3 linked regions of the Medicago truncatula genome follow. The protein of the gene in region 3 interacts with the protein of the main gene of each other region in a pairwise test. Links are inferred from orthologs where the notes say so. Each region holds a gene or a part of one and is shown on either strand. Other genes may lie near its edges.

The links. The genes of interacting proteins can lie anywhere in the genome.
Region 1: the proteins of transcription factor TCP9 (region 3) and transcription factor HEC3 interact in binary tests that used the Arabidopsis thaliana proteins (3 or more experiments, as listed by UniProt). The link is inferred for Medicago truncatula from reciprocal best matches to the Arabidopsis thaliana genes TCP9 and HEC3.
Region 2: the proteins of transcription factor TCP9 (region 3) and transcription factor KUA1 interact in binary tests that used the Arabidopsis thaliana proteins (3 or more experiments, as listed by UniProt). The link is inferred for Medicago truncatula from reciprocal best matches to the Arabidopsis thaliana genes TCP9 and AT5G47390.

Annotation. Positions count from the first base shown.
Region 1 is NC_053049.1:43,198,934-43,206,348, forward strand, and holds transcription factor HEC3, read left to right. Parts: upstream 1-4,917; 5' UTR 4,918-4,988; coding exon 4,989-5,786; 3' UTR 5,787-5,984; downstream 5,985-7,415. UniProt on the Arabidopsis thaliana protein: Required for the female reproductive tract development and fertility.
Region 2 is NC_053045.1:49,443,257-49,451,776, forward strand, and holds transcription factor KUA1, read left to right. Parts: upstream 1-4,589; 5' UTR 4,590-4,787; coding exon 4,788-5,067; intron 5,068-6,366; coding exon 6,367-6,575; intron 6,576-7,285; coding exon 7,286-7,777; 3' UTR 7,778-8,089; downstream 8,090-8,520. Other genes in the region: uncharacterized protein, read right to left, coding at 493-1,077, 1,149-1,175. UniProt on the Arabidopsis thaliana protein: Transcriptional repressor. Direct regulator of the transcription of peroxidase (Prxs) and reactive oxygen species (ROS)-related genes via the recognition of 5'-ATCACA-3' motif.
Region 3 is NC_053049.1:13,107,890-13,116,354, forward strand, and holds transcription factor TCP9, read left to right. Parts: upstream 1-5,319; 5' UTR 5,320-5,465; coding exon 5,466-6,467; 3' UTR 6,468-6,897; downstream 6,898-8,465. Other genes in the region: uncharacterized protein, read right to left, coding at 955-1,232, 1,341-1,653.

The DNA of each region.
Region 1 (7,415 bases), about 30 Mb from region 3:
AGCTTCCTTTTTTCCAAAGATTATTAGTTGGCTTCAAGAACACGATATATCCGAACTTAATTATTTGCTGATGAGCTAATTTTACGATTAATATAATGATCACCAATGTATTTGATATTTCCAAATCGTCTTGTGTGTTGAAGTAGTAGTAATTTCATACTATTGAAATAAATTATTCAATGACATTAATTAATACAAGAATACTAGTATGACACATGCGGGTGATGTCAAAATTAATTGTGACTTTGGAATTGTCTTCTTGTTTTTTTTATAGTAGATAGACGAAATGACAAAGCCATTATAAACTCATACACAAGTGGAGGTATTGAGGTTCGAATCCTGATCATGACGTTCGGCCTAACAATTTTGACGTTTTACCAGTTGAGCTAGGACTTGCTGACGGAATTGTCTTCTTATACATCAATAAATTACCGTAATTGTTGAGCCACGGAGAAAGGGGTTGCATCAAATTAAAGGGGGACTGTGTTCTATGTTCAATGATGATACATTTATTGCATATAGTTTTTTGAACTGGACTGAATAACAAGAGATATCTCTTTAGTTCTCCCTTAAAAAAAAAAGAGATATGTCATTAATTGGTAAATTACATGTAATTTATTCTAGCAACTATAGGAATTCAAAAAGGCTAGCACCAAATCAATTCTTTTGTTGGGTAGTACTACTACTAACCACCCTTTTTTTTAGGTCTAGATTACCCTCTCTTGTTTAGGGGTATTTTTATCCTTTCATATCAACCAATCAAAATGTAATATACAAATATAATATTAAATGTCAAATAAATGAGTCAATTTTTTCTATAAAAAAAAAATCAATTTTAATCCTAAGGTAACATTTAATTTAATTATATATTTAGGTATTCAATCTTAATTAATTTACACTATAGGTCTTGCAACAATTAAAATTTCACATCAAATTCAACCCATCATATAACACTAAAGGTCATTTATCTTATTTATTTGTAACACATTAGTCCTTTATCTTTTTTTTTTGTTCCATTTAGGTCCTTTATCTATTAAAACGTGCACAAGTTAATCCTTTTCTTAATTTTTCTATTAAAAAAACATGAAAATATTAATTTTATTAATAACTTTGTTTTAAAAAAAAAAAATAATAATAAATAAATTCATAAACCCTATGAATATTTCATCCTCATATTCATCATCTTCATCTTCTTCCTTATATCAAAAAAATTGTCCATCCAATAAACCTTCAAATTTCTTAAATATTTCCACTTCCATCTTCTTCTAAACACAAAATTCAAAATACTCAATTTTTTTTTTGAAGAAAAAATACTCAAATTTATAAACCCTAAGTTTGCCAAACCCATAAATCTGAATTTTAGATTTAAAGAAAGAAACCAAGAATTCAAAGTATCGATCGGGTTCTTGATTTCTATGAAATTTGATTATAATGGTGTTTGATGTGAGCTTGACGAGGATTGTGCATATGAGCTAGCTGTTTAGCTTTTTAGATTCTTAACCTTTTTGGATTTTTTACTAGTGTTATACAATGGTATAAACAATTTCTTATTGTTGCAGGCCAACCTCGCCTTCACTACCATCATAGATAGGAAAGCTACAGGGAAAATAATAATTGTATTCGATGAGAAAATTACAAGATCTAAGTTGTGATGATCTTTACTAAAACTATGCTTGAGCACTCAAACATGAGAGGTTTACTATCCAAATTGTGAGATTTTTTCTTTAAATCCAAAATCCAAATTTATCGGTTTGGTAAAATTAGGGTTTATGAAATTTGGGGATTTTGAATTTTGTGTTTAGAAGAAGATGGAAGTGAAAATATTTAAGGAATTTGAAGGTTTATTTGGATGAACAATTTTTTTGATTTAAGGAAGAAGATGAAGATGATGAATATGAGGATGAAATGTTTATAGGGTTTTTGAATTTAATTATTAAAAAATATTTTATAAAATAAAGTTATTAATAAAATTAATATTTTCATGTTTTTTTAATAGAAAAATGAAGAAAAGGATTAACTTGTGCACATTTTAATTGATAAAGGATCTAAATGGGACAAAGAAAAGATAAAGGACTAATGTGTTACAAATAAATAAAATAAAGGACATTTAGTGTAATTTTGCTTAAAATAAATTGACTCATTTATTTGACATTTAATGTTACATTTTGTATATTACATTTTGATTGGTTGATATCTTGAAAGGGTAAATACACTCTAAACAAGATAGGATAATGTAGAAAAAACCTCCTTTTTTAGGTACAAACTAACCATCATTTTCTATGAGGGGAAGCAAAATAATTTTCTTAATAAAAAATACGATCTCATTTGACTTAAAAAAATATCTAAATTATCGTAATTTTCGTACATATTTTTTCTTGCAATTTTTCGTGCATATTTTAATTAAAAATATAGTATTCCTTTTTACTTTAAATAGGATTTTTTTTTTTTATCAAGTGACTTAATATCTAAGCTGATACATATTAAGTGTGAAGGAATGAGGAATTTAAAGTTTCAACCTTGTCATCTCTATATCAACGTCCTTACCGTTATCAATTAACCTACTTAAAACTACACTGATATAACACATTTATAGTTAACAACTGAGTTGTATTTACATGAAAATGCATAGAGAACTCTATTTAACCGACTATCGATAAAGGATTTCATTTAATGAATAGTTGGCCATTTAAATTGGTCTTGGATTTTTGAGTTTGTAAACCGAAATTTTGAAGTCGCCATCCAACCAATCCCAAAATGAGTGAAGGAGACGGGGAGCGAATTAAATTATAGCAAGGAGCAAAAGGCATATGAAAATGGCAATAAATGGGAAGCAGCCCTAGGATTTCAGTGCACCTAACATCAAATTGGAGAGAGGAACCAATTCAATTACTATTTTCACCGTTAGCTACCTAGGCAGTGCATATGCATAAATACACTAATTAAGATAGAACGATTTCTATTATTTTCATTAGATGGATGCATATTTGATTAATGGTCGTACACATTGATGAGTCCAATTGCTACACGAAAATCATTCATATAAATATATATTTGGTTTGATATGTATGGATTGTCTAATTTTATCTAACAATCGTGATTTTTGACTAACTTATCACTATGTATGTTTTTATACATATATTTATTTCCCTTAAAAAATAAAATACAATTGATTTATCAATTCATAGACGTTAGTTAATTAAAACTAACCATGTATGTTTTTATACATATATTTATTTCCCTCTTTTGAGCCCTCTTGCACTTTTTCACGAGTGAGCTGTGAAACCTTTCTTATGCTTGCCTTGATAGGATTTGTTTATGTTTTATATTTTTATAAGTAGACATGTATTTCTTTGTATTTGTTCTCTTGTATTGTTGTATTCTTGTTTTTTTTTTTTTCTCTCCGTGATTTGTTTCATTGTATTTTTTGCTTTGGCTTTGCCCTTCTTGAGGCTGCTCTTTCCGTCACTTGACCTCTTTACAATTAAAAAAGTATAAATATATCACAATATTTTCATAAGCTCTTGTAAACACTTATAAAAAAAACGGCTTAAATATGTATTTCATCCTTGCAATTAGGGGTCGTTTAAAAATTGGTCCCTGTAATCGCTAATCCTGACAATTTACCCTTGCATTGTTTAATCATTTAAAATTTCGTCCCTCTCCCCACTTAATCACTGCCGCGTCACTAATTTGACGACGTGGCAATCACTATCACAAATGAAATTCCAATTTTACCCCTGAGTTTCCAATTCTTTCTTCAATATTTTGTCCTCTTCTTAAGGGCAAAATTGGAATTTTATATGTGGCAGTGATTAAGTTGGTCAAAGGACGAAATTTTAAATGATTAATGATTGCAAGGCTAGTTTGCAAGGATTACGAATACAGGGACCAATTTTTAAACGACCCTTGATTGCAAGGATGAAATACATATTTAAGCCTAAAAAAAACCTCTTAACATGACACTTCAAAATATTTCAAGACAATAATATTATTTTATTAAAGTTCAATTTCGTCTACATTTATTGGATAGGTCACAAAAGTCTACTTTTGGATTAACTAAAAGGCCTGTTTTTTATTTAGATAATATTAGGTCTAAAATAAATTAGTCAACACATATTTAATCGTGTGACGTTACATATATATTTATAATGAAATAAAAATTTTAATAAAATAAATTGTCTAAAAATATAACTATGAACTGAACTAGACTAGTATTTTTGAAGTTGGGATAGGAGGGGCTATAGCTAGGTATATGGATCAATCTCATGACTTTGTAGAACTACATTCGTTCAATTCAATTCAACCACTTTAATTTGCTGCACTGCACCATGCACTACCTTTTCTTTTCATTCATTTGTCTACATGCTTTTTGCAGTGACTCCCCTTTCAGTAAAAACCCCTTCCTACATATATAAATTACTTTCCCTTTTCTTTCTCAATTCTCTCCTTTCCTTTTGGGCCCCCTCTATACCCTCTACCCTCTTTTTCAACCATCAAAAACCTTCTTCAACGTTTCATATACAATACAACAATAAAAAAAACTTTCAAGCTAGGTAATATATTTTTAACCTCAATCTCCTTAATTTCTACTCCTTCACATTAATTATCTCCTCTTCTTCACACATGTGTGCGTTAACTATTATTTATAAGTAGCGTTGTTTCATTTCATATGATCATATCCAAAAATTTATTCTCTTCTTCTCTCATTCTCTTATCGTCTTTTGAGTTTGAGTATCATTTATATTCGTTTTATTGAATATTCATTTCTTCTGTTGTTCAAAAAAAAGTTGATCAAATATCTCAAATTAACCCCTTTTTATTGTTTATTCCCTCTTATCTTTTAGCTAATTAAAGTTTTTTTTTTGGTAGAATTTTAGCTAATTAAAGTATTAAATCAATAAAGATACACAAGATCATCTAACTAGCTAGATCCATCAAAATTAGAACCTAACACTTCATATTTTTCATATATATAATTGTTTTTGGTCATGGAAAATAACCAAAATAATACTAGTAGCGCATTCACAAGCACTTGGAATCTTGAAAAAATGGAAACAAATGAACAAAACCGTATTATTCTCCAACAAGATCATCATCAAGTTCCTATGAATTCTTCTGTAATTTGGCCACAAAATAACTACAGCAACATGATCATGGCACCACCACCACCACCATCTTCATCAGGTTCACTCAGTGACATCTTAGGGATCCATCGAATCGAAGACGTAGAAGAACAAGAAGAAGAGTTAGGAGCTATGAAGGAAATGATGTACAAGATTGCAGCTATGCAACCGGTGGACATCGACCCAGCAACGATTCGAAAACCAAAACGAAGAAACGTTCGAATCAGCGAAGATCCACAAAGTGTTGCAGCTAGACATAGAAGAGAAAGAATCAGTGAGAAGATTCGTATCCTTCAAAGACTTGTTCCTGGTGGAACTAAAATGGATACAGCTTCTATGCTTGATGAAGCCATTCGTTATGTTAAGTTTTTGAAGAGACAAATCAAGTTGCTTCAATCCACTCCTCAAAATCAACAACAACAACACATTCAATTGCCACTTTCATCACAATGCATTAATTCTACAACTCCTAGTGCTTTGTTATTGTCCCCTTCTTCCGGTTGTGACGTTTGGCCTTTTGCACCAAATTTACTACTCACTTCCACAACAGCTGCCACAGTGGACTTACCCGCCGGAGTTCAATTTGACGCCGGAGGACATTCACATGTTCATGCTTGTGATGGCTCATCAAGCTTTAACCATCATGAGGTAATTAGTGAGTGATTAATTAGTTAGGTTAAATTATATTATACTTAAATATTTTTATCTATGTATAAAAAGGACAGTCCATATTGCACAAGGTTTCACCAAGTGAAGTTTGCATAGGGTTGATGATTGTCTTCCCAAAGAGAGAAAAAAAATTCAGAATTCGAACTCATGACCTATGTCTTCTGTATAAGACAACAACCTTACCATTATTTATGTATGTGTATGAAATTGGAGAAGTATTTTTTATATTAGTATATGTATGTAACTATATAAGTTGATGATGAGTTTAGAGAAAGAGAAAAAAGAGGAAAAATAAATTAAAGAGTGAAGACGTATATATATATAGCTAGGTAGTATAGAGTAAAGTTTGATAGGGGAAATTGATCATGTGAGAGGGAAAAAGGTTTGTTAGGATTGTTGACTAAAGGTTGTGAAGAATAATCATAACGTTTGGCTTTGGTTACGTATAGAGGCATATATATATATATATATATATATATATATATATATATATATATATATATGTGTGTGTGTGTGTGTGTGTGTGTAATTATAAGAATAGAATAATGTGTATGCAGTTTGATTGTTGGCCGGAAAGTTTGTTTGGCCGACTCTCTTTCTGGGAATAAATTCAACAGTGACGTGAGAAACTATATAAATATTTATTGATCAATTTATAGTTATATAGTAATATCTCTCTATCTAGATTTCTTTTCTGTCTTTCTGTGCCTCTTTTCCATCTCTGTATATAAACATAATTACACATATGCATGCTTATTGGCATGTGTGCCGTATCTAAACAAACACACACAGACTCAAAGAGTGATTTGTACTCAACAAAAGACAGTGTATAATGTTAGAGTTTAACTAACTATTTATAGGTCTAGGTTTTGATATATTCTGATAATGTTGGTTGAACATGATTCCAAGACATAACTCGTGGTTACTTAAAGCTGAAGGTTCCTTATTATTAAAGGCCTGTGTGTGTATAGAACTGAAATGATTTGCATTTTATCTAAAGGAAGGAACTCTTGCTTAATGCTACTGTTTCCTGGTCGCAGCTGAATTGATTTTTTTATATACTTAGGTTTTTTTTTTACATGTTGAGGGTATTTTTTTAATGGAAAATTAAGTTTAGGGTTTTAATTTTGAAAGTAGTATATGCCATTCATTATGCTATGTCAAGTATGTTTTTTCTTGAAGTGTGTCTATTATTGACCTCTAAAAAATGATTTAAATGTAAATCTTTACTATTTTTAGTAAAAAAAAATTTGTAAAAATATAAAATCGAGATCTGAAATTATATCTTATTAAAAAATACTTAAAAATAGTAGAGTCCACCTTTGGAGTTCGGATCGTATCTATATTAGACAACTCTTTTTTATTTTATTTTTTTTGTTATATTTTAAGGGGGAGTTTGTTCAATTATTTTTGTAGATTTATTCGTAGGAATAACTTTTCTGGAAATATAAGGATGATAGCCTTGTTCAAAAATATTTTAAAAAATATATCCGTTAATATGATAATATTCACAAAAAAATACCTTTATAATACAGAGGTTAAATGATAATCATACATAAATATATTCTCATCGATATGAGAACTTTATTAGCACCCTTTTCTTTGAATTTTTTTTTCTATTTC
Region 2 (8,520 bases), on a different chromosome or scaffold from region 3:
AATAATAAATAAGGGTGTAAAATTAAACTTTCAATTAAAATTAGAGGTAATAACGAGTCATTGACATTGCCGAGTATAAGCTCTTATTCTCTTTTCTTTACTTTATTTATTTATAATATAGGTGCAATCAGTGGCGTTGCCGGGACCCAGGGTCAGGAGGTTCAAAATTTTAAACTTTAATTTATAATAAATATAATAATATATATCTAAAAAATTACATTGTATTCAATTTACAATGTACTCAAAAAACTTCATCCATTCTTTACAAATGTCCCTTACGCGGTGCCATCTTCTGAAATCGTTGAATAATCAACTCATCATCAATTTTGTCCGCCACATCTCTCTCAATATAAGTCACGAGACAATCATTCATCCAATCATCTCCCATTCGATTACGCAATCTAGACTTCACAATCTTCATAGCAGAAAAGGCTCGTTCAACGGTTGATGTGGCAACGGGCAAAATCATTGCTAACTTCAAAAGTCCATAGACTAAAGGATAATCAATATGTTTTTTGAGTGCAACCATTTTTTTTTTGAAAGATCACTTATTCCTTTCAAAGATGCAAATTCAACACTCCTACGCATATCAAAGATGTAAGTGTCAAGTTGACTATCAAGCAACACCAATGAAGTTGGAGAAAATTCAATTGGATAAAACTTTGCAAATTCAATCAACTTTGCTTTGTCAAATTTAGAGAACGAGTTGTTTGGGCACATACTCTCCATACAAATGAGCAACCGACTATTTGTCTCATTAAAACGATCATTAAGTTCTTGAAGTTGCATGTCCACAACCGTATAAAATAATTCAATGCGGTAATGATTCCCTATTGTGATAGATTCAGCGTTACCTCCACGTATTGACTTTCCACGGAAGAATATATCATCCATGCTTGGAATGTTAATGTCATGCTTATTGCCAAATAAAATTACCTCCTCCAATAAAGGTTCCCATCCATCATCTCTTAGAGCTTGTAATCGCTCCTTTGTGATGCTAATTAGGTTCATAGCATTGACGATGTCTTGATCTTTCCTTTGCAATGCTTGTGACAATTCATTTGAAAAACCTAAGACCTTTTTCATTAAATGCAATGTGAGTGCAAAATCAAAAGTATTCATGAGAATTAAAAGACCTTTTGCTTCACCTCTTCCATCTTTAATTGATACATCATCTCTCAACATTTCAAGAACATCAGTTATAGAACTATACATCAATATCAAGTTCACCAAACACAATAACAAACTTTAAGATTCAATGAGTATGAAATAAAAAACAACATTCTTTCACATTTTCATCTAGTGCTACCACTCCTTTCTTACCATCCATCCCCATTAGAGTAAAACAATGTCACACAGAAGCTCACTCACTATTATAATGAAACATGATAAATTAGTAGGATTCAAACAAAGTAGAATAACATGATTCAAACAAATTAGTAGGATTCATATTAGTTTCTTGGTTTAAAAATCAAAACAGAAGCTCATTCACCATGATTCAAACAAAGCAACATGGAAATGAAACACACAAGTTGAACAAATAGAATAACATGATAAATTAGTAGGATTCATATGTTTTTTTGCATTTTGAACAAATTGAACAGATACTAAAAAATCTGAAGCGAACCATTTACAACAAAAAAACCATGAGTGTTAAATTGCCACTTTAAAACAATTCTCCAATCAATTTCACAACACAGACATATCATTAGGACCCTCAATTGCATATTCAATCAACCAATTTATCACAATTGAAGTCATCTAAAAAAAAAATCCAAATTTCAAAACCCTAAACCAAAGATTTTTAATTGATTACCTTGGTGGTAGATTCAATGTCTTTGAAAGCTTTTGAATGTCCCTTTGCGGTTGCACGACGGCGGAGGACGGCAAAATAAGGTGGAGACGGTGGTGATTTATTGCAACTGATTTTTGAGATGGAGAGAGAACTAAAACGTGATTGTAGATGGTAGTTGAAAGGTCGCGAGAGTGAAGATAGAATGGGTTGGGTGGTGGCGCGGTGGAGTTTGGTGGTGGTTCTGCCGCCGGTGTGGTGGAAGTGGAGGAAGAAGGGTTTTCTAAGTTAAGAGAAGATAGTTTAGAGAGAAGTTAAAATGTGTAAATGAGTGAGTGATGGTGGTTTGGGTCAGCTGGTGCAAAGAAAAAATATGAGGAGGTTCAAAGTGCTAAAAACATAGGGATATATGTGAAAAAATTTAATTTTGAGGGTTGGCAAGTGCATCCCCTCAGCACTATGTGCCTCCGCCACTGGGTGCAATAGTTGAAGATTGCAAAAGACTAACATCAAGTATCATTACTTTAAATTTTTTAAATATTTACCGTGTTGCGAATCAAGCGGCTCATTTCTTAGCTAAATTGGTTATTATGTCTCTTGTGAATTTGTTTGTGTTGATGAAACCCCTCCTTATATTTATGTTATTGTGTCTTTTAAATTTATCGTCATATTTCATTAAATAAATGTAGTCATTTTAAAAAATAAATCATCCCAAAATTTGGTAGCTTAACCGCACAAAATGTTAGAAGAGGTGTATCACATGAACTTTCCAGAAGGTCAGTTGTTTGACCAGCTACCATAGAAAATAAATAAATTTAAAACAAAAAAAAAAATCGCATAGTCATTATTCGATTGTATGTATTTAGATATATTTAACATTTACTCCATCCGTTTCTTTTTAAGTGTCATTTTAAGGTTAATTTTTTGTTCTTATTTAACTGCATTTTGGTATTTTAATGGTACGATTTGTCAATTACTCATATTTTTTTCTTTGTTTGGTTACTCTTATCTTTTTTAATAAAATTAATTAATGTTATATATTTGAAAAACTAAAGTTTTTTTTTTTAAACTAAGTTTTTTTTTTAAAACAAAATTTGTTTCTTGTTATCTTCAGATTTAAACAAATGTAAAGAGATAAATATTGTACACGTACCATTGTTGCTCTTTTCTGTATGCTCTACTAAGTTATCTTCATCCAGTGTGGATCTAGCATTGGTTAAAGCCATAGTTGAAGCCTTAATTTTGATTAAATAAGTTTGAGGACAGATAATTTTTTTCTTAGCTTTTTATTAATGTGAAGTTGGAATAATTTTTATATTGACTTAAATTAATTAAAGAGTTGTGCACAATATTTCGAAAATTGACAATTGTTTGTTATGAGAAGGAGTGTGTAAAAAAAATTGTTGGAGAAAAAGATAGTAAGTAACAAATGTTTGTTACGATCTAAAAAAAAAATGTTTGTTATGAAAAAATATAACATATTAAATTTATTAGAAAGATAAAGTGTGTGCCAAAATATATAAATATATTGGTGGATTAAATTGAGGGTATAATAGGAAGAAAATGTGCAAAAATACACTTTGCTATTTTTCGTGGAAATTTTTTAAAATGACACTTAAAAAGGAATCGAGGGAGTTGTATTTTTATATAAATTTGAAAAAATGCATCACTATAGTAAATAACATTCGCAAACTCAGAGTCAACAATAAGTACTTCATTGGACACATCTTAAATATATTCGGTACCACTGATTTCATGGATAGCTTTGCTCTTTTATTTTTATTTTTATTCATAAACACATTGAACTTTGGTTGGATATTGATACTCCGTGACAAAATTCATTCAAAATTTAACCTTTTTTTTTTTTTTTTGGTCAGGCAAAATTTAACTTTATTTTAAAATAATTAAAACAGAAAATATGACATGACATTAAATAATTAAATGATAGATATGTATCTAATTAAACTCAAAGTACTATTGTGTTCAATTCTTTTTTAACAATGGATGGCTTTGCTTTTAAATCTTCTTAGTAGGGCTTTGAAAATAAATACTGTAATTGGAGAAATGGTGGTAAAAACGACCTTTGGAGTGGGATAACTAATAATAAGGTGGATAAGCATTCACAATCCTCTTTTGTACCAAAAAAGATAGAGATGCTATTTTGCACAAGAATATACTCAACCTTCAGGTTTGGAAGTATATACCCACGTGAATTATCCCTGCTAAATATGTTCCTAATTTCAGAATTAAGTTTAGACCATCATTTGGGATGCCTTATCAACCAAGGCTTTAGTTTTTCACTAGGCTACTCTTGGTGTTTAGGAAATGATATTTAGTGTGTGTTTTTTTTTTTTAATGGATAAAACAGATTTCTAATGAACGAGAAAGAAGAAATAGAAGAATAAAGAGAAAGTTGTTAAATAATTTTTACAATTAATAAATTCCCAAGACAAATGTTTAATCCAAAAATATCCATATATATATATATATATATATCTACATTTTTTCATTGCAATTCTGAATATTATCTTTCTCACTTTCGAAGAAAAGTAGTACGTAATTGTTTCATCAAGTTGATGATGATAAGTACTGTATCGAAAGCAACCCAATCACTTGCATGAAGAAAAAAAAGCAACCCAATCACTATACTCAACTTCTAATCCTCCGCCACGTCAACAATCAGAAACAAATCTACGGTCAAAAAGAAACGATCACGTATCATAAAAAAAACACCGCGTAGCATCTTATCTTTACCTCTCTTTATCCACGACAAGATAGATAAATGGATAGTGTTGTGTTGTTGGTCTTTCTCTCTTTCTCTTTCTCTCTGCAGCAAAACCCGAGGGAGACCAAACCAAACATAATAATAAACTCAAATAAACCAAAAAAAACAAAAACCTTAAAACCTTCAATTTCATTTCATGTCTCGGATCCTGTGATTCGGATCTTCAAAACCCGATAATTCACCTCTCTCCTTCGATCCGGTTCAGAAATCATGACCCGTCGTTGTTCTCATTGCAGCCACAATGGGCACAACTCAAGAACCTGTCCAAATCGTGGTGTGAAGCTGTTTGGAGTAAGATTAACCGATGGGATCCGGAAAAGTGCTAGTATGGGTAATCTTAGCCACTATAGCGGGTCCGGGTCTGGACTTTTGAATACCGGGTCAAATACTCCTGGTTCACCTGGTGAAAACCCTGATCATGGTGCTGATGGCTATGGTTCTGAGGATTTTGTTCCTGGTTCTTCTTCTACTTCCCGTGAAAGAAAAAAGGGTTTGTTTCTTAAAACCTTTTTCTTTTTAACTCTTTTGCTTGCATGTGAATTTTTGGAATTTAATTTTGTTCTGTTTTTTTTTTTTGAGCTAGATGAATTCAACTATATTGGATTAATTATGTGATCTTGTTTTGGATTGGTTTGTATTTACGATTATGACAAAAAAATATTTATATTTTTGATTTTTGGTTGGTGTAATTGTAGGAGTAACTAGACAAGAAAGGTACTGATACGTGTTAACTTTATTAGTGATTGTCTCTTTTGAGAGAATTATTGGAATGTTTCATGAATTTTGTATCTGAATTTTGGTCTAAGAAATGGATAGATACAAGTCTTAGGCCATGTGGTTCAAAAACAATGTTTCTCATGTGCTTCAAAATTACTCATATTTACTTATTTAGTGTCTATTGGGTTGGTGTCTGTTTAACTTGGATGTGTTGTGTATTCTAGTCTCTAATTATGGGGGATGTGGTCCATTAATATGCATATATTACACTGTTTCAGCTATCTAAACTAGGCTTTATATTTTACATTAAAAAAAAAAATAAACGCGTTGAAAAAAGTCTATGATGATAGATTAAATACCAGGCTGTGGCAGGTGTTTAACAAACCTTGTCTAGCTTGTTTCACCCCTAATGATCTGCAAGCAATAGCAGAATATGCTCTTTCTAGCTATATAGTTCGGCTCTAATGAGCTTTCACTTAAAGACGAATAATTCAGGAGAACCTGAGTTCGAATCATGACTAAAACAATCTTTGGCCAAGCTTTATTTTCGTCTAGGTCGAACTCTGGATTACCAGAGGCCCTTTCCCCTAGGAAGTAGGAACCGAAGGGTCAAGACAGAGAAAAAAATGGTCTTTTTGATGATGATTTCTTAAGTTTTATCAGATTACACACAACCCTGAATAGGGTCACATTTCTTAAACGACAACATGGCTAGCTTATTTCCTCCCCTAAATCTAATACTATGTGCAAGGTTTGGCTTCCGATCCATCCCAAGAGTGAGTAGGGCCTAGATCAAACTTTAGATAGACCTTTTTGCTTCAAATGAGATTTGTGGCTATTTTTGCCAGCATTTAAAGCTTTATTTTTTAAACATTCAAATAGTCAATGTTAGGTATAATTTTTTGGGGGCCTAAAGCCTTTGACTCATTTAACTAGGTTTCAGACCAGTACTGTTTAGCTGAATTTGAATTTTATCTATTTGAAGTTCATATTACAGTCAGCTTCAACGGGGATCACGGAAAATTCTTGTGTTGTTTTTGTCAGCTTTTGATTTTTAATATATTTTTTTCAGGCACTCCATGGACTGAGGAGGAACATAGAATGTTTTTACTTGGATTGAACAAGCTGGGCAAAGGTGATTGGCGTGGAATTGCCAGGAACTATGTTATATCAAGGACACCTACTCAAGTGGCCAGTCACGCTCAAAAATATTTCATCAGGCAAAGCAATGTGTCTAGGCGAAAGAGACGGTCCAGCCTGTTTGATATTGTTGCAGATGATGTTTGTCCCCTTATTTCCAAATTCTATTTGCATAAAATGTGTTTCCTTTACATTATGTTGCATATAATGAAATTGATGCCACATAACCTGTTCATTACCATTTGATAAGATTATCCAAATGTGTTTCTTTCTTTAACGATATTGTTTGACCTTTTATGGATACTTTGAAAATTAAGTCAGTGAGTCTCATGTACACGACACTGTTTTCCATTTGGGAAAATTGTCCATTTCCTGGACATTTTGGATGTTGATGACCTCTCTGTGTATTAATAATGTTCGGGTTAGATATTTATAGAACCATGGCTCTAGGGTATTTAGCAATGTTTTAATAGCCGGACTGAACCAACCAACCGGTTGTGCTGAGAGGGAACCAACTAGTTCCCTGGTTGGTTTGAATCCAATTATATAGCTGGCTGGTTGAACCGCAGTTCAACTGTGGCTGGTTCAACCGTTTTTTTTTTAATACTTTTTCTTAAAAAACTTTTTTTATTTGTCATTTAGTTCATTGAACCATGACCTGTATTTCTCACCAATTTGATGTCGGTACTGATTTTTAAAATATTGGTATTTAGTTTGGAGGAAAAACATTGCATTTTCTGATGTGGTTCTCTTTTGAAATTTATATAAGCATTATGTAACCTCACTTTTCCTTTTCCTTCTGAACCTTCTAATTTTTCTGGATTTCTTGTATTTTTGTTTTGATTTTGCAGGCACCTGATACTTCAATGGTACCGCAAGACTTCTTGTCAGCTAATCAACTACAAACTGAAACAGAAGGCAATAACCCTTTGCCTGCTCCTCCTCCGCTCGATGAAGAATGTGAATCGATGGATTCTACAAACTCAAACGATGGAGAGTCTGCCTCTGCCCCATTAAAGCCCGACAGCAATGCACAAGCGTCGGCTTACCCAGTAGTATATCCGGCATATTATTCTCCATTCTTCCCTTTTCCTCTTCCCTATTGGTCTGGATACAGTCCTGAGCCGGCTCCTAAGAAAGAAACACATGAAGTGGTGAAGCCAACCCCAGTACATTCCAAGAGCCCAATCAATGTCGATGAACTCGTTGGCATGTCAAAACTGAGTTTAGGTGAAACTATTGGTGATGCTGGCCCCTCGACTCTGTCTCGTAAACTACTCGAAGAAGGTCCGTCTAGACAGTCTGCTTTTCATACAACTCCAGCTTGTGGGACTGTTCTGTGAGCATTATTATCATGATGTGGTCTTGTGTAATTCATCAAATATACTTGGTTTGGGATAACCTTAATAATTTTTTACTTGCCCTTCCAGAATGGTTAACCTAGTTTGTTTGTTTGTTCGCTTGTAGGCAGTAGCATCTAGTATTTACTTGGGTTTAATTAAAACTTGATGTTTGTTTAGTAGTTTTCAACTTTGCATTTCTCAGGGTTATGTGAAGCTTGATTGTGCAGTTTGACAATCTACCAAGTTGTGCTTCCAATTTGAGTGTTGTCAAAAAGTTAGGACTATTACTTTTCCTACCCTATCATTTTCTCACATTCTCACATGTCCTATTTTTCTTTTCTTTCAAAAATACTCCTTGTTCGGATTATATAATCTGAAAATAACTATCAATCTATATGTGTTGCCCAGTATTTAAAAGAAAGAGAGGTGTGTATTATTTCATTGACATAATTATAAATGACAAAAACATAAAATAAATATAATTATAAACAAAATTAATGGAACAAAGATGATACAAATTTTTATTTTATTATAAGTTAAATTATAAGGTTTGTTTCCTTTTTAGGGTGAAAGAGATCTTGGTGGTCAACCTTACACCCAAGCAGACCAACCTCGCATCCAGATAGGCCGCACTTCTTTGCAGTGTGGCACCATCCCCATTGATCATTCCTACAATCATTGGATTTTCAAAGTAGCCTTTTGTATGAAAGACCAATGAAGGAAAAACATTGTTGTAGAAGAAT
Region 3 (8,465 bases):
TTACACAAACAAAGTAGGGACCAATTGAGAAAAATGTGTCTAAGTCAATAGTCAATACCCATTTTGCCATTGAATTGGAGGGTCCCAACTAATTACACAATCCAACCCAAAAACCAATAGGTGGATGAATGGAGAGTGTGAAAATATAATGGTGGGTCCCACATGACCTAGCAAAGGGTCCACCACTATTTTTTAATTTTTCCTTTGTGGTCCACTTACAAAAGTGAGGGTATAGAGAGGTACCCTAACCAAAAAAACCAGCATGGTCATGACCTCATTTTTGTGCATGGGCCCACATGGAAAGAAATCAACCGTTGGATTGACAGATAAAAAAGTGGGACCAACATTGTGAGTCGTACGGTGGGGCTCACTTACCTTTATATGTGGGTATGCCCCATTGTTAGCGTGCGCACCACACACATATAGGGTCCCAATCCTAACCTTCTTCAGACCCTGGCTGGCCCCTCAAAAGGGGGGTGCATGGAGAAATAAAAGTGGAGCCACCCATCACTTTCTACATCATGTATACGTATGAAATAAGACAAGGTGAGAATAAAAAGTTATGGTCATATTTATTTGTTTTAATTGTGCTATGGACCAAGTATTTATCACTTTTAAGCCTAGTCCCATCCAAAATTGTTCTTGTTCTTGTAATAATAATAGTAAAAGAAAAAAAAAACAAATTGGTTTTGAATTGGAGTTTGAGTTTATCCTATAGGCTATTGAAATAGTTATTCTATGTGTTGGTGATGATACAAATAATTTATTAATAATAATTTGTTTTAAAAAAGTTTAAGCCCCACATTACTCTTTTTTTTAACAAACTAAAATGAGATATATATTATGAACAATGGCGATTTACCGTGCACAAGACATGCAAAAGGTAAACCGATTAACCAAGATACAGTAGTAAGGTGCTATTTTAGAAGAGCACCATAAAAAAGTTACAGAAAATTACACAATAACACCCATGCAAGGAATTGGGTGTTTCCACCAGTCATAATAAGAATAAATAAAAGATGTATGCGATGCTTTCAGCCACATAAAAGAGTTCAGCTTCACTTTTTCAGCTAAAGAAGAAGGATCACAAACCGTTTCTTGGAACACATGGTTATTTCTTTCCTTCCAAATAGCCCAAACATAAGCGAACCAGATTACTTTCAGGAAATAATGAGTGGCTCTAGGCAATCCGACCAAATTAGAGAATTGTGTAAAATGCCGCCGAATATCACCTGGAAACACCACAAATAAGCCTAACCAATGCAAAATATGATCCCAATGCGTACTAAAAATATTACAGATGCAAAACAAGTGATTTGTGGTTTTATAAGCACCGCAACCTGACACACAAACCGAGTCTGCTATCAGAAGAACTCGCCGATGAACCAAGTTGTCTCTAGTAGGAAGTCTATTTCGGAAAAGGCGCCACACAAATACTGACACCTTAGTGGGTATGCTCTTATGCCAAACATCTTCAACCAGAGTCCTATTCCCAGCGTTACCATTATCAGTGAGAAAGCGATATGCTTCCCGTACCGTGTAACCACGGGAAGGATCTATCAACCAAATCCAAGAATCATGAACATTAACCTGCAAAATGACATTAGAAAGTAACATAGAACATTCCTTCACACTTTCCTCCTCCCACGCCATTAATCTTCGCCTCCACGCCCACCCCCCACCTCCAACCTCCCAACCTTCCCTACTCATATCCTCCACCGTACACTCCTTGCTCACAGACAAATAAAAAAGGCGGGGGAATTTACAACATAAAGGTGTATCCCCAACCAATTATCATACCAAAATAAAGTATTCCCCACATTACTTTTTAATAGAGATCTTAGAAGTCTGCTCACTTGAGATTGGGTTAAGGATAGTGATTTCAAGAAAAATTCTCCGATTGTTAAATCTTTTGATACAATGTGAGTAATTGGATGTGATAATTCTTGTCAATTTTAGTTTCATGAAAGATCACGAGTTTATATATAATTTTGAGAATCCAGTAAATGGTACGAGCATAAGAGGTGAAACATGTTTGAGTTAAGTACCACGAAATCTACCCCCTTGTGTAAGAAAAACAAGTTCAATTGTCTTATTTAACATTTTCCAAAACAAATACATCAGCTCATTCAATAGCAAGATGCGAGCTTAGTGTTAATCAAAGTTTGGACAAAATAGTGAAATTAGATAAACTCATAATTTTAAGTGAGTTCGCCTTTTTTTTCTCGCCCAATTTTTATTTTACTTTGAGCTCATAAGCTCATTCAAAAAAAAAAAAAAACTAAAATTGTTTATTTTTTGAAAAAAAAAAAACTAAAATTGTTGGTAATTTTAATATTTAATAATTACATCAAATTTGTTATTCTTCAAATTAAAATTGAAAAGGATCTTTTATATATTAGGTCAAATACCCAGTGATCATTTTAAGTTAGATGTTTGTAATAAGTTAATCTTTTAATTATTTTTTGTTAGAAATTATTTCTTTAATTATTTTCTTCTAACATATCAGTCATTTAAATCTTCACCAAAAAAAAAATATCAGTCATTTAAATCATAAAGTATTTTTATTGTTATCCATTTTCATCCAACTTTGTTAAAAATTGCTTATGATCCCATTTAACATTGAGATGACAATTCCAAAAGTGTTTACGAACCTACCACAAAGAATGGGTTTCATCTTATACCGAACATCTGAGCGGTGGATACCACATTGTTTTGAAAAATCAGTCACATGTTATGCTCCTTCAAATGATCCATATACACGTCAACCAAATATTTTGAAAATAATGACGAATTTCCTTATATTAAGATCAATATTTGCAGTTAATTATTCTTATAATCTTCATTAAGAATTATGTGGTTTTAAAAAATCAATGATTTTTCAACTAAAATATTCTTCAACATTTTGTTGAAAACCCAAAATCATAATTTGTTGAAGCAAACCTATCTGAAATATGAATCATTCACTATTTCTTTCACGTATCCTATGATGTATACTCTTCTACAAAGATACACACACATGCACACAAAACATGCTTTCGATACATTGACTATTGTGACTTTTCGATTTCAGATCTTTGTCAATGCTGTCTTTTTTCTATTATGTTTTGTTTTCTTTATTTTGTTTGATTTCTTTCCAATGAATATAAGTTGTAGTTTGTCATTAAACTTTCTTAGTCTAAAAGCACAACAATTTCCTTATCATTTTCTACATGATGTCATTTCTTATCTTAATCTCTTACGGCAAAGGGAATTCCCACATTGATGTATCTTTTGGGCTATCTTATAATTTCTTACTTTTTAATTTTGTTTTTTCATAATGATTTTCAGTTTTTCTGATATATTATATTCTACTGTTTTGGCTAAGTGTGTGATATTTCGTGTTCTATCATCAGTCTCGATGGACCATTTTTTGTTTTTTCTTTTTCTTTCCATTAAATATAGGGTTTTGTTAATTTATGTTCTTTCAGTACATGCTACGAAATTTAAATGTAATATTTTTATATCAAAAATAAAAATGTTTATACTTTAAAAAATTTAAGTGCACGATTTATGAGACAAAAGTATTATTCTCCTAAGATGGCAATATACTAGCAAATTTGTTAAGAACATCCTTTAACAAAACTCTCCTTAGATGTATGATCAATTAAATGCATTCAACCTTAGATGTATGGCCAATACTTTAATTTCTTGTAGGAAGTTCGTGTCAAAAAAACAATCTTGTAAGAAGTTGTATACGTGTCATTTCTTGATAAAAAAAGTATAAATTAGTATCTCACTCATTTAAAGCAAAAACCATTCATACATGGGACTATTTAATCAAAATAATTCAAAGTTGTTAGCTTGATAAAAAAAAGTATAAATTAGTATCTCACTCATGTAAAGCAAAAACTATTTATACAAAATAATTCAAAGTTGTTAGCTTGATAAATATAATATTATAAATTCTCTCAAAAAAAATATAATATAATAAATTAATATCTCACTCATGTAAAAGCAAAACTATTTATACATGGAAATGTTATTTATAAAAATAATTCAAAGTTGTTAGGTGAGATATTATTAATTCCTGGAATTGATCGGGTGGTAAAAATAACTTTGAACGGATGCATAATTCCTTTATCCTAAATTATTTCTATTAAAAGAACATTGTGAATTTTTTTTCAAAAATGTATTTTGACATTTGATACTATATTTTGATTTTCTCTTGTACATTATAGTGTAAGTAGTCATTTTCGTCTATAAATGTGTAACGAATAGTCACAATAATCTGTGTATCGAAGTTCTAAAATAGTTTTTGATTGTATATTCCGTCAGTTAAAACAGTCTCTGACCTAGAAATTATTTTTTTTGATGCTCATAGTAACTCTTTTCTTACAGAAATTGTATAACATAATGTAAATACCTATATGGATTGATACGACAATATTAGATTTAGCCGATCATTTTAATGTCAGAGATTATTTTGACTAACATATTGCACAGTCAGATAATATTTGGAAATTTCGACGAATTGAGAGACTATTGTAATATTCATTACACATTATGACTATTTACCCTACATTATATTTTGATATTATTTTATTTTGCTTTGCATATCAAATCATCTTAATTAATTGTTCGACGTAGAAGATATCCAATTCGAACTAAGACAAAAATCAAATCACTTTTTAATGGTGGTCGGGGTTCGAACCCCAAACCTTGACAAAAATCAAATCGCAAATAACTCTAAATGTATTCCATACGCTATGCAAAATCTGTTTTTTATGTAAAACTAACACTCCTCTTCTTTTTTTACTATACAAGTAGCATTATGTTTTTAACTCCATTGTGTCGCACAAAAACTATACCATATTGACTTTCACACATACAAGATCATAAAAAATGCATGAGATCATATAAGAAAAAAGATTTATCCAAATATAAAAAAAACCTATATACAAAAAATATTTACATAAAAAAGAATCATTTCCCTTATCCTTCAAATAGTTCATGCCATCATCAATTAATCATGCAAGAAAGAATCTTATCAAGTTCCATACTCTTTTTCTTCATTTTTTTTTCTTCTTTTCATCCTCTTCCTATCCTTCACTCTCTTTTTAACAATTGTTTTGTGTAGTTTGCCAAACAAGTGTATAACATTGACCAAAACCCTCCTAACATTAACCCCATAAGAATGGACCCATCACATGGATTAGTCCTTATCATAGTGGGTCCAATAGCGATCACCGTAGATTTCTTTCCATGTAATATCATATAAGACGGTATCATAAGGGTCCCATCCTTCTATATCACTGGTTACTACCTCCCTCTATGTCCTACATTTAATAACAACCCTTTCACTCTTCATTCAATCTCAACACTCTCTTTGTGCTATATATATTCACACACTTTCATTCTCGCATTCAAATTCTATACCAAATCTAAATCATCTTCCTTATCCATTACCTTCAATTTCTTCATTCATGGCTAAAGAAAATTCTACAAACATTGATCTCACTCTTGGAGAGCCGAAAGAAGAACCGGAAATAGAAGATGTATCGGCGATAAAAGTTATGCCGATGACCATGCACGTGCCACCGGGGATACCTATGTCCATGCAAGTGAACAAAGCCTTGGTTCAAGCCCAAGCCCAAGCTCAAGCTCAAACCCAGGCCCAAGCTCAAGCTCAAGCCCAACAAACAATTCAAAAGAGATCATCTACAAAAGACCGTCACACAAAAGTCGAGGGTCGAGGCCGAAGGATCCGAATGCCTGCCACATGTGCAGCTCGGATCTTTCAGCTGACCCGAGAACTCGGACATAAGTCCGATGGCGAAACAATACGCTGGCTCCTCGAACACGCGGAGCCAGCTATCATTGCCGCCACCGGTACCGGCACAGTCCCAGCCATCGCCATGTCAGTCAACGGAACACTAAAAATCCCCACCACTTCCCCAACCAAAAACCCTAACCAAGAACCAAACCAACAATCCGATGAATCACCTGAGAAAAAGAAACGTAAACGACCATCAAACAGTGCTTACGTAGATATAAACGACACCACTGTTTCTGTTTCATCCGGTTTAATAACAACCTCAAACATAAACACAAACACAAACCTAAACCTAATTCCTCAACAACCCACAATTCAGTTACCACAAAACATGGTTCCTGTTTGGGCTATACCATCAAACGCTGTTGTACCAAACGGAAACACTTTTTTCGTTGTTCCAACAAATCAACCACAGTTTTTTACATTGGCTAGACCAATAACCGGTTTTGTTTCTTCCATGGTTACACCAGTTATTCAAGTTCAACAAGCTTCATGTTCTTTATCTCCTTCAACAAAGTCTCCAGCTAGAGCCACCGTGATGGCTCCAAGCACGGCGGCAACAACCACTACTCAGATGTTAAGGGATTTTTCATTGGAGATTTATGATAGACAAGAGCTTCAGTTATTATCAAGGTCTTCTTCGAAGCATTGATAGAACCATAGAACCAGAGAACGTTGAATTTGGTTAACGATGTTGTTTGAAAAGAGAAGAGCACGTGGGCACGTGAGTGGGGAAGGGGAAATGGTGGGGTCCATGTATGTGTGGGTCAACTAGAAAAGTGGGGGGAATGTGGGGCCCAGTATTGGTGGTGCTGGCTTCTTGAACCGTGCAATGGGGGGTACTAGTAGTACTGTTATTATTCTACTCTACAGCTGCCAAAATTTAATTTTTGGATGTGTAATAAGAATATTATCAATTAAAATTAGAATAAAAATAACCGTTATTCATGGTTTTATAAAGGTTTTATTCTTGATTTTAAGTTAGTATCCCTTGAAGTTATGTAATTAGTGTACTACTTAAAATCAGTTACAAAAATGTTCTTTAAGAATGTATTAATACTATGTAATTTTTTTGGTGTAAATTAGATATCATTTGTGCATGCAACTGTGGAGACTAATTTTTTGAGTCTTGTAAAATTTAAATAGATGATTTTTTTTTGAAAATCTCCTCTAAATCAGTAGTATAGTTATTGAAATCATGAGCATCATCTTGTAGGTTCTAGATTAAGTAGTAGTTTCAGGTCCCATAGCTATTGTTCTTGATACCGGATTTTGCGCATTGCTTGAAATAAGTTTTTATAAGATCTTTATCAACCAAAAATTTTGACTTTCGATTTTTAACGTTGATGCATGGTCAAGACTCAATTCAAACTTAGAATTTAATTAAACTAAAAGAAACTCGTGATATATCATCTACGCGTTTTTAGGTTAATATCGATAATTTTATTAATTATTTTGTTGTACGTATCTCTATTTTATTTTTTGGTTTATTTATTGGTGAAAATGGATATGGGTCCACCTCTTATTGTGGTCATGTGAGGGTGGGTGAGGGACCCAAGGGAGGAATGGCCTAATGGGTGGACCCAAAACGGGACCCTTTTTGCACACTTCTCAAAGAGGTGATTTTCAAAGTGGTCCCTACTTGGGACAAGTGAGTCCATGAGACACGTGTCGAGTGATGGAATGTTGACAGGTGGGGTATCACTTTTGGTTAGACACGTGGGGGTTTAGTGTGGACCCACGTTACATGTTACGAAGCCTTTTTATTGGCTTTTGTTTGCCTGGCCCAAGAAAATGTGAAGGAAAATTGATGTGGGTGTGTGGAAGTGTGTGAGAGAGAAAGAGAATAAACGGAGTATCTTATGCTGGCCACTTTTGTAGAGCTTTCTTTCTTGTAGGACTCATGGGAAAAGGGGAAACAACCATTTTGATTTTTGAAAGTATATTTTATCACTTTTCATCATTTTTTCTGTAATATTTTAAAAAAAAATGTTAACTGATGTGTTTGGGATGTTTTTTAAGCACTTTAAATAATAAATTTTTAATTAAAAGTTTTGTAATGAATGCATTAGAAATTGTAATAGTTGATTCTTTGAAAGAATAATTATTAAATTTGGAATGCTTAAAGAGTGTTTCGGGAGCACCGTTAACGAGACCCATATTTTTATTAAGTTATATATCATTTTTTATCCTTTTAGTTTGATACAATTTTCAAATTAGTAAGTTTCAAAAATTTTAAATATGTTATTTTAGTTGATAAAATATTTCAGCGTTATCTATGTTGTCAATCTTCATTTAATTGATGCTGATGTAACCATTGCTTACTTGGATCAAAATGATGTGTTTTAAAAGCTCCAGGGTGTCAAGACGCTGCATTTAATGGTCATAAATTATCATTTATAAGGCTTGAAAGGTGGTTTTTGTTGTCAATAAGTGTCTTTTTAGCCTTATAATTTATCATTTGTGACAATTAAACACAGCGTTTTGACTATTTGAAGCCTTTGAAACACATCATTTTGATCTAAGTCAGTAACTTAACGGCACATCTGCATCAGTTAAGTGGAGATTGACAACATGAGTAACAGTGAAATAATTTATCACGTAAAATGATCAATTTAAAATTTTTGAAACATAAAGTAGTAATTTAAAA